2 linked regions of the Ovis aries genome follow. The protein of the gene in region 2 purifies or fractionates together with the protein of the main gene of each other region. This does not show direct contact. Links are inferred from orthologs where the notes say so. Each region holds a gene or a part of one and is shown on either strand. Other genes may lie near its edges.

Evidence for each region. The genes of interacting proteins can lie anywhere in the genome.
Region 1: the proteins of NDUFAF5 (region 2) and NDUFAF8 purify together in Homo sapiens (affinity purification with mass spectrometry; 3 studies listed by BioGRID and IntAct, counting the BioPlex papers as one, with this or other methods). This does not show direct contact. The link is inferred for Ovis aries from reciprocal best matches to the Homo sapiens genes NDUFAF5 and NDUFAF8.

Annotation. Positions count from the first base shown.
Region 1 is NC_056064.1:50,975,413-50,979,181, reverse strand, and holds NDUFAF8 (NADH dehydrogenase [ubiquinone] 1 alpha subcomplex assembly factor 8), read left to right. Parts: upstream 1-1,350; 5' UTR 1,351-1,388; coding exon 1,389-1,472; intron 1,473-1,634; coding exon 1,635-1,745; intron 1,746-1,858; coding exon 1,859-1,989; intron 1,990-3,021; coding exon 3,022-3,037; coding exon of another isoform or gene 3,038-3,051; 3' UTR 3,052-3,269; downstream 3,270-3,769. Other genes in the region: AP-4 complex accessory subunit tepsin, read right to left, coding at 981-1,028. UniProt on the Homo sapiens protein: Involved in the assembly of mitochondrial NADH:ubiquinone oxidoreductase complex (complex I, MT-ND1). Required to stabilize NDUFAF5.
Region 2 is NC_056066.1:7,200,027-7,204,218, reverse strand, and holds the start of NDUFAF5 (arginine-hydroxylase NDUFAF5, mitochondrial), read right to left. Parts: upstream 2,801-4,192; 5' UTR 2,766-2,800; coding exon 2,544-2,765; intron 1-2,543. Other genes in the region: ESF1 homolog, read left to right, coding at 4,012-4,192. UniProt on the Homo sapiens protein: Arginine hydroxylase that mediates hydroxylation of 'Arg-111' of NDUFS7 and is involved in the assembly of mitochondrial NADH:ubiquinone oxidoreductase complex (complex I, MT-ND1) at early stages. May also have methyltransferase activity.

The sequences.
Region 1 (3,769 bases), on a different chromosome or scaffold from region 2:
CGAAACCTCTGCTCAAAGAGAACTGACCTGTCTTTCAGCAGCATGAGGGTGAACCCGTCACCCCCCTCACCCCTGCCGCCTGCCTGTGGAAGCTCACAGTGCCAGAATTCACTGTTCATTCTGGCCTATTTCTGGTGACAGACTCCAGACCTTTTCTTGACCCTGGACTTTTGGACTGGTTCAGGCTCACTTCAGGAGCATTTTCTACAATTGGGAACCCAGACCTCCTACAACTTAGGAGAGTCTTTCTCAAGGACCTGAAGGCCACTCCTTGAAATGTAACCACCAGGAGGGACAGGGTCTGTCCCCCAGTTCCTACCGCACGATGGGATCTTAGCTTCTGTAACCACCAGTTATCAGCACAGCAGCCGTATCCCACCGAAACCGCCCAAACGCCTGCCATTTTTCACTTGAACTCCACCCTTCTGTCCTGTCCTGAAAACGCCCAGTCCTCTCCGCACAATTTGAACTGGAATTCAGGGCTTCCCCCACTGCCTGGACCACTTAATAAAAGGTTTTCTGCCGCTCTTCGAATCAGCGTCTGGTTATCTCGGCCAGAGTTCGGGGGATCACTGTTTCTTTTTCTGTAAAGCTACTTTAAGCTGGGTAAGAAAACAGAAAAACTTGGGATTTTGTTCAAGGGGGTCACTCTTCCCCGTGGACCTGACACAGGGATGGCCTGACTTGCCGCCCCCCAAGGCTGTGGGGTCCCCCAGCCTCGGGAGGGGCCGAAGGGTAGGATTTGAGATGAGGAGTGTTCTAGGATGTTGAAGCGGCCGGAAAACAGGGAAAGAGGCGAGAGGAGAGGTGGGAGGGGACGGAGGGGGACGAAGGGGACGCCAAGCCTGCCAGCATCCGGAGGGCACGGGGCGCGGGGATCCCGCGGGGGCAGTGCGCAGCCAGGGAGGCGGTCGGCCTGGGCTGGGGGTGAGGCCAGGAGGCGGCGCGTGGTGGGACCAGGGCCGCCAGCACTCACTCACCCGGTGCAGAAAGCTCAGGCGGTCCCGCAGCGGCGGCGTGGCCGCCATGGTGCCGGCCACCTTCCGGCCCCGCCCCGCTTCCGCCAGGCCCGGGCCCCCGCCAATCAGTGCGTGAGCCTGACCCCGCGGGCCAATTACCCGAGTGAGGAGGGCCTTGCGGCCGACTTCGGGAAACAGTTTGCGCGTGAACCAATACAAAGTCCAAGGACAGCGACCGACAACGAGCCAACTGCAGGGCTCTGGGAGACTGAGAGCGGTTCCGGAGAGGCTAAGGCGAGGGCTAAGCCTGACCAAGTGACAAAGCGCAAGAAAGATTGTGGGCGGAAGTGCCTGCCGGTTAAGCTGTTGGGCGCCGGAAGAGGCCGGACCTAAGATGGCGGCGCCCACAGGTGCCGGGAGGAGCCGCTCATGTCGGGGAACGGAGCTGTGTGGGGTCGCGTGCGAAGCCGCCTCCGCGCCTTTCCCGAGTGTCTAGCTGCCTGTGGGGCCGAGGTGCGGAGTCGTCAGGCGGGGCAGGAAGGGCCGCGCGAGGCGGGGTGCAGGTTGGCGGGGGGCGGCTAGTGGTGACCCGGGAGCGGCGGCGGCGGGGTCCGCCCGGGTAATGAGCGGGCGCGGGGACCGTGGCGACCCTCGCCCATCTCCGTCCGCCCCCAGGCCGCGGCCTACGGCAGGTGCGTGCAGGCGTCCACGGCCCCGGGCGGCTGCTTGAAGAAGGATCTGTGCGCGCAGGAGTTCGAGGCTTTGCGGAGCTGCTTCGCTGCTGCGGTAAGTGAACGCCAGCCTCGCCCGGGGGTGGGACCCTAGGGGGCGGGGACCCACGTTACCTGTTTGGGAAACGGGCTTCCTTTTCTTCTGGGTTCGATGTTGGGCTCCAACAGGTGCTTCACGGGGGCACAGCCCCACACCAGCCGGCGCGACCCCCGCCGCCACGGAGGCTGCCTGTAATGAGGCTAGCACAAGGTTTTGAGCTGGTGCCCAAGATGTCAAGGTCCTGGGTTCCCTCGACTCGGTGGGTCTGGGGTGGGCCACGATGCCCACAGTCAGTTCTGTTCACCAGAGCTGCTTGTGCTGAGTACTGGACCTGGCAGGGGACAGTTGGGTCAGCTCACTAGAATTTAGGGAATCCAAGGAATCTCTATGATCCAGGATGGAGAATGCATGGGCCATACTTCATTTCCCAGAGGGCTCAAAGAACCCCTTGCACCTTCCTAGCAATCATTGTGGCTGGGATATGCGGCTCGCCCTTGTCACCAATCTCCAATATGACATGTTTCATCCAAGATGCACGTGTCGCTTGGACTTGCTTCCTGGCTCTTGGCAGCTTCCTTGCTTTACTCAGAGCACTCCCTCCGGGAAGTACAAACCTTCATCCTGTGGTCAGTGGTTGGAAGGATTCACATGTAAAATAAAGATCACACACTCCTGGCCAAACCAGGCTTTTCCCTACCGCCTGTGGTTATTAGTCAGGATCACAGGTATCCTGTGAATCCTCTCTGGAAGGAATCCTCTCTGATTCCTTACGCTTCTTTGCCCCTGTCATGTTGTCTTGCCCCCGGGAGCGTGTGGCTGCCTCTCCTGCTGTTTTCCATTGAGGGCAACCTAACCACAGGCCCCAGGCACTGGAAGTTCAGAACAGGGAACCTGGGGGTTTCTCATTTAAAGACACAAGCCATTTTGTCTACTCTGCCTGCACCCTGAGGCTCTGTGGGGGTGCATGAGGAGGCAGGAGGGGAGCCTGTGTTTCAGCATCTCTGGCTTAGAGATTCCTTTATAGAAGGGGGAGGACTAAACGGGACTCGTTGGTGGCACAATGCCTGGCAGGGTGGGAGAGGCCACAGAGCAGGTTGAGCCCAGCCCCAGGCTCCCCAGTGCCCCAACCAGCCTGGCCCCATGCTGCACACTCGTGGCCAAGCTCTTTGTCATTTGTTTGCCAGGAGGTGGCTTCTGGGATGGTAGTTTTCTTAACTTTGAAACCATGTCTAACTTGTCTAACCATGTCTAACTAAAGCAACCCATTCAGACACAGCCCTTTGTCTTCCAGGCCAAGAAGACCCTGACAGGAGGCCGTTAGGAAGGACTACAAGCTCCAACGCACGTCCCTGGGTGCCTGGCACTGATGGCCTCAAGGGGCAAGCGTCTAAAACCTTAAAAGCTCTTGGGGCTAAAAGGACTGGAAACACATTAGGCATGCATGAGCAGGAGAATGGGTTTTCCAGCCTTGCACACCTAAGGATTTGGGGAGAATAAGATACAGTGAACCCACAATAAAGATCAGATCAGACACTGTAAGATTTGTTTTGTCATCTGCGGAATGAGTGCATGGGCTGTGAACAAGCTGCCTTGCGAGTTTCGTTCTTTAAAGAGTTCTCACCAAGGCACGTCATCTGAGTGGCGAAGCATCCAGAAGTAACTACCAGGTCACAGCACAGACCAAAGAAAGAACAGTGACACCGTGAGGGAAAAGTCCGAGCTGTAGGAACCTGGTACTGATGGGGTTTTTTCTGACTTAGAAAAAAAAAGGTGGGGGTTGCTCTTCAGACAAAAGGGTGAAGAACCCAGGGAAGGTCTGGTTTTAGGAACCCAGTGCCTGTGAGACTTGCTCCATGGGGTTGCCCCACCCTCCCTTCCGCAGCCTCTGGAGTCTGAGCCCAGGTCCATCCTGGCCAGGCTCCTGCTCACTCTGGTCCCACCCCTCATCCTGATTCGGTAAGGCCGCAGCAGCACACGTGCTGGAGCTCCAGGGAGACCCAGTGGGACCCAGGAAGATTTCAGCATCCTGAGTGCTGCCT
Region 2 (4,192 bases):
GAGTACTGAAGTGGGTTGCCACTTTCCTCTCCAGGGGATTTTCCCGACCCAGGGATTGAACCCAGGTCTCCCGCAATGCAGGCAGACGCTTTACCATTTGAGCCACCAGGGAAGCCCCAAATTTTGAATAGGAATTCTGAATAGGAACATATAAATAAAAATAACCAAGGAAACACATTGAGTTAATTACCTCAGAAGTCAATTCAAGGAAAGAAGACTAAATTCTGTATATCTATGACTTTATATTTCATGTGCTGCAAGAGTGCAAAGACAAAAAGCAACAGGATACCCTAACTTAAAAAAAAAAAAGCAACAGAAACATAACAAGCATATCATCCACAGACATTAGTGTGAGGTGCGTGAAAGTGAAAAATTAGTTAGCTGAGGATTATTACAGATCAATGTATAAGTGATAATTTAATACAACTAATTATTTGTTAACTATTAACAAATTTTGTGGAACTCCTAAATGAATAAATAACTTTTCTGAGCAACATCTGCAAATTAGAAATCAGCCACATTTAACGAAACCTCCTCAATCTCAATCCAATTTAAAAGAGGTCATAAGGCAGGTGCCTCCTTTTGCTCAGCTAGCTTCATGCAGCAGGAATAAAGATGTGGGAGACTAATATTCCCCACATTCCACTCATTCCCTGGTAAACATCACAGTTTCTACAGGGACTTGAAAGTTCAGAACAGAATATATGTGTATTTTCTTTGGGAGGTGAGGTAGGGAGGAAGGGTAAGGGAGAAGGGACAGCAGAAGTCTTTTCCAGAGGAGTCCACTTTGTGCATCATTACTGATATGAATACCTTTTGTTTATTATTTTAAAAGACTCTCGTATACTTTATCTCATTTATTCTAGTCCTAAACAATGGTGAGGCCTCAGTCAAGTTGTAATCCAGGTGCCTTTCCTGGAAGAGAGGGTCTGGAAACTCACATCTTCTGAATATTTATATGTGTCACCCTGAGAACAGAGTCAGTCATCCGATTTGACCAGGACCTGCACAAAGTTCTGTCCAAAACAAGAGCTCAGTAAGTGTTGGCTGCAATGGCTTCAAAGGGCTCATCACACTTGATTTCAATTTTGGTCTATCCCTGAAGAAGCACTTACATAGGCCTGAGCTCTGTGCTGCCTGTTCAGAGAGTAGAAACTGGCTCAAGTTCCTAGCTCACCTGAGTAAAGAGGAAGAGGTCTCTCAAACCAGCACAGATAAATCAGAGATCTTAATTCATAAAAGATGAATCAGATTCCATCACTTCATTGCTGAAAACCATTCAACAGCCTCCCATTCCTCTAAACTCTAGAGCTATGTTGGCCAAGAGAAAAACAATCAGAGCCACATGAGCAACTTAAGATTTTCCAGTGAAAGTGCTGAAAGTGTTAGTCACTCAGTTGTGTCCGATTCTTTGTGACCCCATGGACTGTAGCTCACCAGGCTCCTCTGTTCATGGATTTCTCCAGGCAAGTGGATTGCTATGCCCTTCTCCAAAGATTTTCTAGTGGCCATTTTAAAAAGAGTAAAGAAGTTGATTTTCACCCAAAATATCAAGAGTTTCAATGTGTAATTAATATAAAAATATATTAAGGAAATATTTTACATCCTTTTTCCATATTAATTCACTGAAACCCACTGTATTTTACACTTACTGGACGGAGGAGCCTGGTAGGCTGCAGTCCATCAGGTCGCTAAGAGTCGGACACGACTGAGCAACTTCACTTTCACTTTTCACTTTCATGCATTGCAGAAGGAAATGGCAACCCACTCCAGTGTTCTTGCCTGGAGAATCCCAGGGACGGTGGAGCCTGATGGGCTGCCGTCTATAGGATCGCACAAAGTCGGACACTACTGAAGCGACTTAGCAGCAGCAGCAGCAGCAGCAGCAGCAGCACATCTCAAAGGGCCATTTCAAGTGCTCAAAAGCTGCATGTGGCCAGAAATTACCACATGGAATGTACAGCTGAGATAGAGAAGAAAATCCAAAGTTCTTACCCATTAAGGCCCTCCTGACCTGGACACTCCCTTACCTCCCACTGGAGCTTTCCTGGAGGCCTTGACAAGGCCCTTTGGGATTAAGGGCCTCTGGGTTCGTCTTCCCCATTACCTGCAAAGCTTTCCCCCGACATCTCCCAGATCCCAGCTTGATTAATTTCTTGCCTCGTCGTGTGCCCCCAACCAGCGAAGTCGCTTTACTTCTTTACTTCACTACCTGGCTTTACTTCATTAACTGAAATTACGTTTCCGGTTCACTGTCTCGTCTCTCACAAGAATGAAATCTCTTGAGGGCAGCGGTCTTGCTTTGCCCCAGGTACACCTGTAACTCAAGTATTAATACTATCTGCCGAGGACATGAATGAATGAATGAATCGCACCTTGCAAACACCGGCGCCCGGCCCCTGCGCGGTTACAGCAGAGGCCCAGACAGGCAGGGCGGCCTCTCAAGGTCACACGGCGAGGTGGGGGCGTTCAGGTCCTGGCCGGAGCTCCGGGACCCGAAGTCAAGGCGCTGAGCCACCCTCCGCGCCGTCTCGCAGACTCACCTCCTCCTTCAAGTAGTCGAACTTCATCGGCTCCGGCTGCCGGGCCGCCCAGTTCTTTTGCTTCCTCTTCAAATCCCGATCGAAGATGTTGAAGGCTTTGGGCGAGGCACCACTCGGGGAAGAGGCTCCAGAGGCCACCGTCCTGAGGCCGAGGTTCTTCACGGGGACCCCGGCCGCCGGCAGCCGCCGCCACGAGAACCGAAGCGGGGTGAGCAGAGGCATCTCCAGCGCCTACACCCCTAGCCGGCTCGGTTATCGAGCGCATGCGCCAAGGCTACGGCGAGGACGCCGGAGCACTTCGCGGAGGGAAAGCGGAGGCAGTTTGGCCCAGTTCGCGTGCCATCACGGCGGCGTGTCTCGCAGAGGATTGTGGGTGTGGGGCCCCATGTGACGCCGTGAGAGGGTTCGGAGTCGGTGAGTGGAGTGGGGCTCCAGGAGAAGAGGGACAGAGCCAGTGTACGACAGATTCTCCGGGTTTACGAGCCCCGCGCTTTTCCTCCTTGCCTTTACGACCCCTCTCCTCAAGCTTCTTTGCTCCTCCAGATCGTGTTGAGGGGCTTGAGCCCCAAAGCGTCTCTCAGGTTTGGGAGCTGGGAAGGTAGGTCCTAGTTCCCTGGTGTTCTCGGCGTTACCGGGTGGGTAGGAGGGGCAGGTGGGCGCCGGAGATGAGGGCGGGCGACCGAGATGAGGTCTGGTCGCCTTGCTGTCTCCGAATATTTGCCGTAGATCAAGTGGTTTCGTTCTAAACATCTATACGCTTTACCTCTGATAGTTGAATGAAATATTGTTTACCCCACAAGGCTGTTCTGAGGGTCAAATGTTTAATGGTGCGTCATAGTCAAGCCTTGCTTTTGGAACAAAACACTGCTACTTTGTATTTGTTAACTAAGAGAAAGGCTTTACCTGGTTCACGAAGGGTGGTCATATACAAAGAGGGGGAACTTTGTGAACTAAACCTGAATTCATTTGGTTCTGTTAACAGCCTGGTCGAAGTAAAGGCTGTTCTGAATAAAATGAAGTCAGGATTAACGGAGAGAATGGGACCAGAATGTGAAAAAACAAATAAGACTGAGACTTAAGGATATTTTAATCATATTAGCTTTTACTTGTAACACATACACATATAAAGTAGAAATATGGGATATCTAAGTGAGGGCAGTTGGCTAGTAATCACTTGCCTCCCTCCATAAAGACCTGGAATTCTGCTTGGTTTTGCGTTAAGTTTATTTCTTCAAATGCTGTACTCAAAAGAAGATTTTCTGATAGTTTTTCTTTTCTGCATGTGACTCAAGATTTGTTCGGGAAATGAAATTAGACCTCTTATTTTACTTAATGTAGCTTAGAATATAGTATTGTGAATTAATATTTTCCCATAGCATCTTACTTAATTCTGTTACTGACCTTTCATTATGATTTTATTTTTTAGTATTTGATTTCTTCAGGCATTTGTCCAGTTACACATTTAAAAATGGCATCTAAACAAGAAATCATGAGTGACCAACGGTTTAGGCGGGTTGCAAAGGACCCAAGATTTTGGGAAATGCCAGAAAAGGATCGAAAAGTCAAAATTGACAAGAGATTTCGAGCAATGTTTCATGACAAAAAGTTCAAATTGAATTATGCTGTGGATAAAAGAGGACGTCCCATCA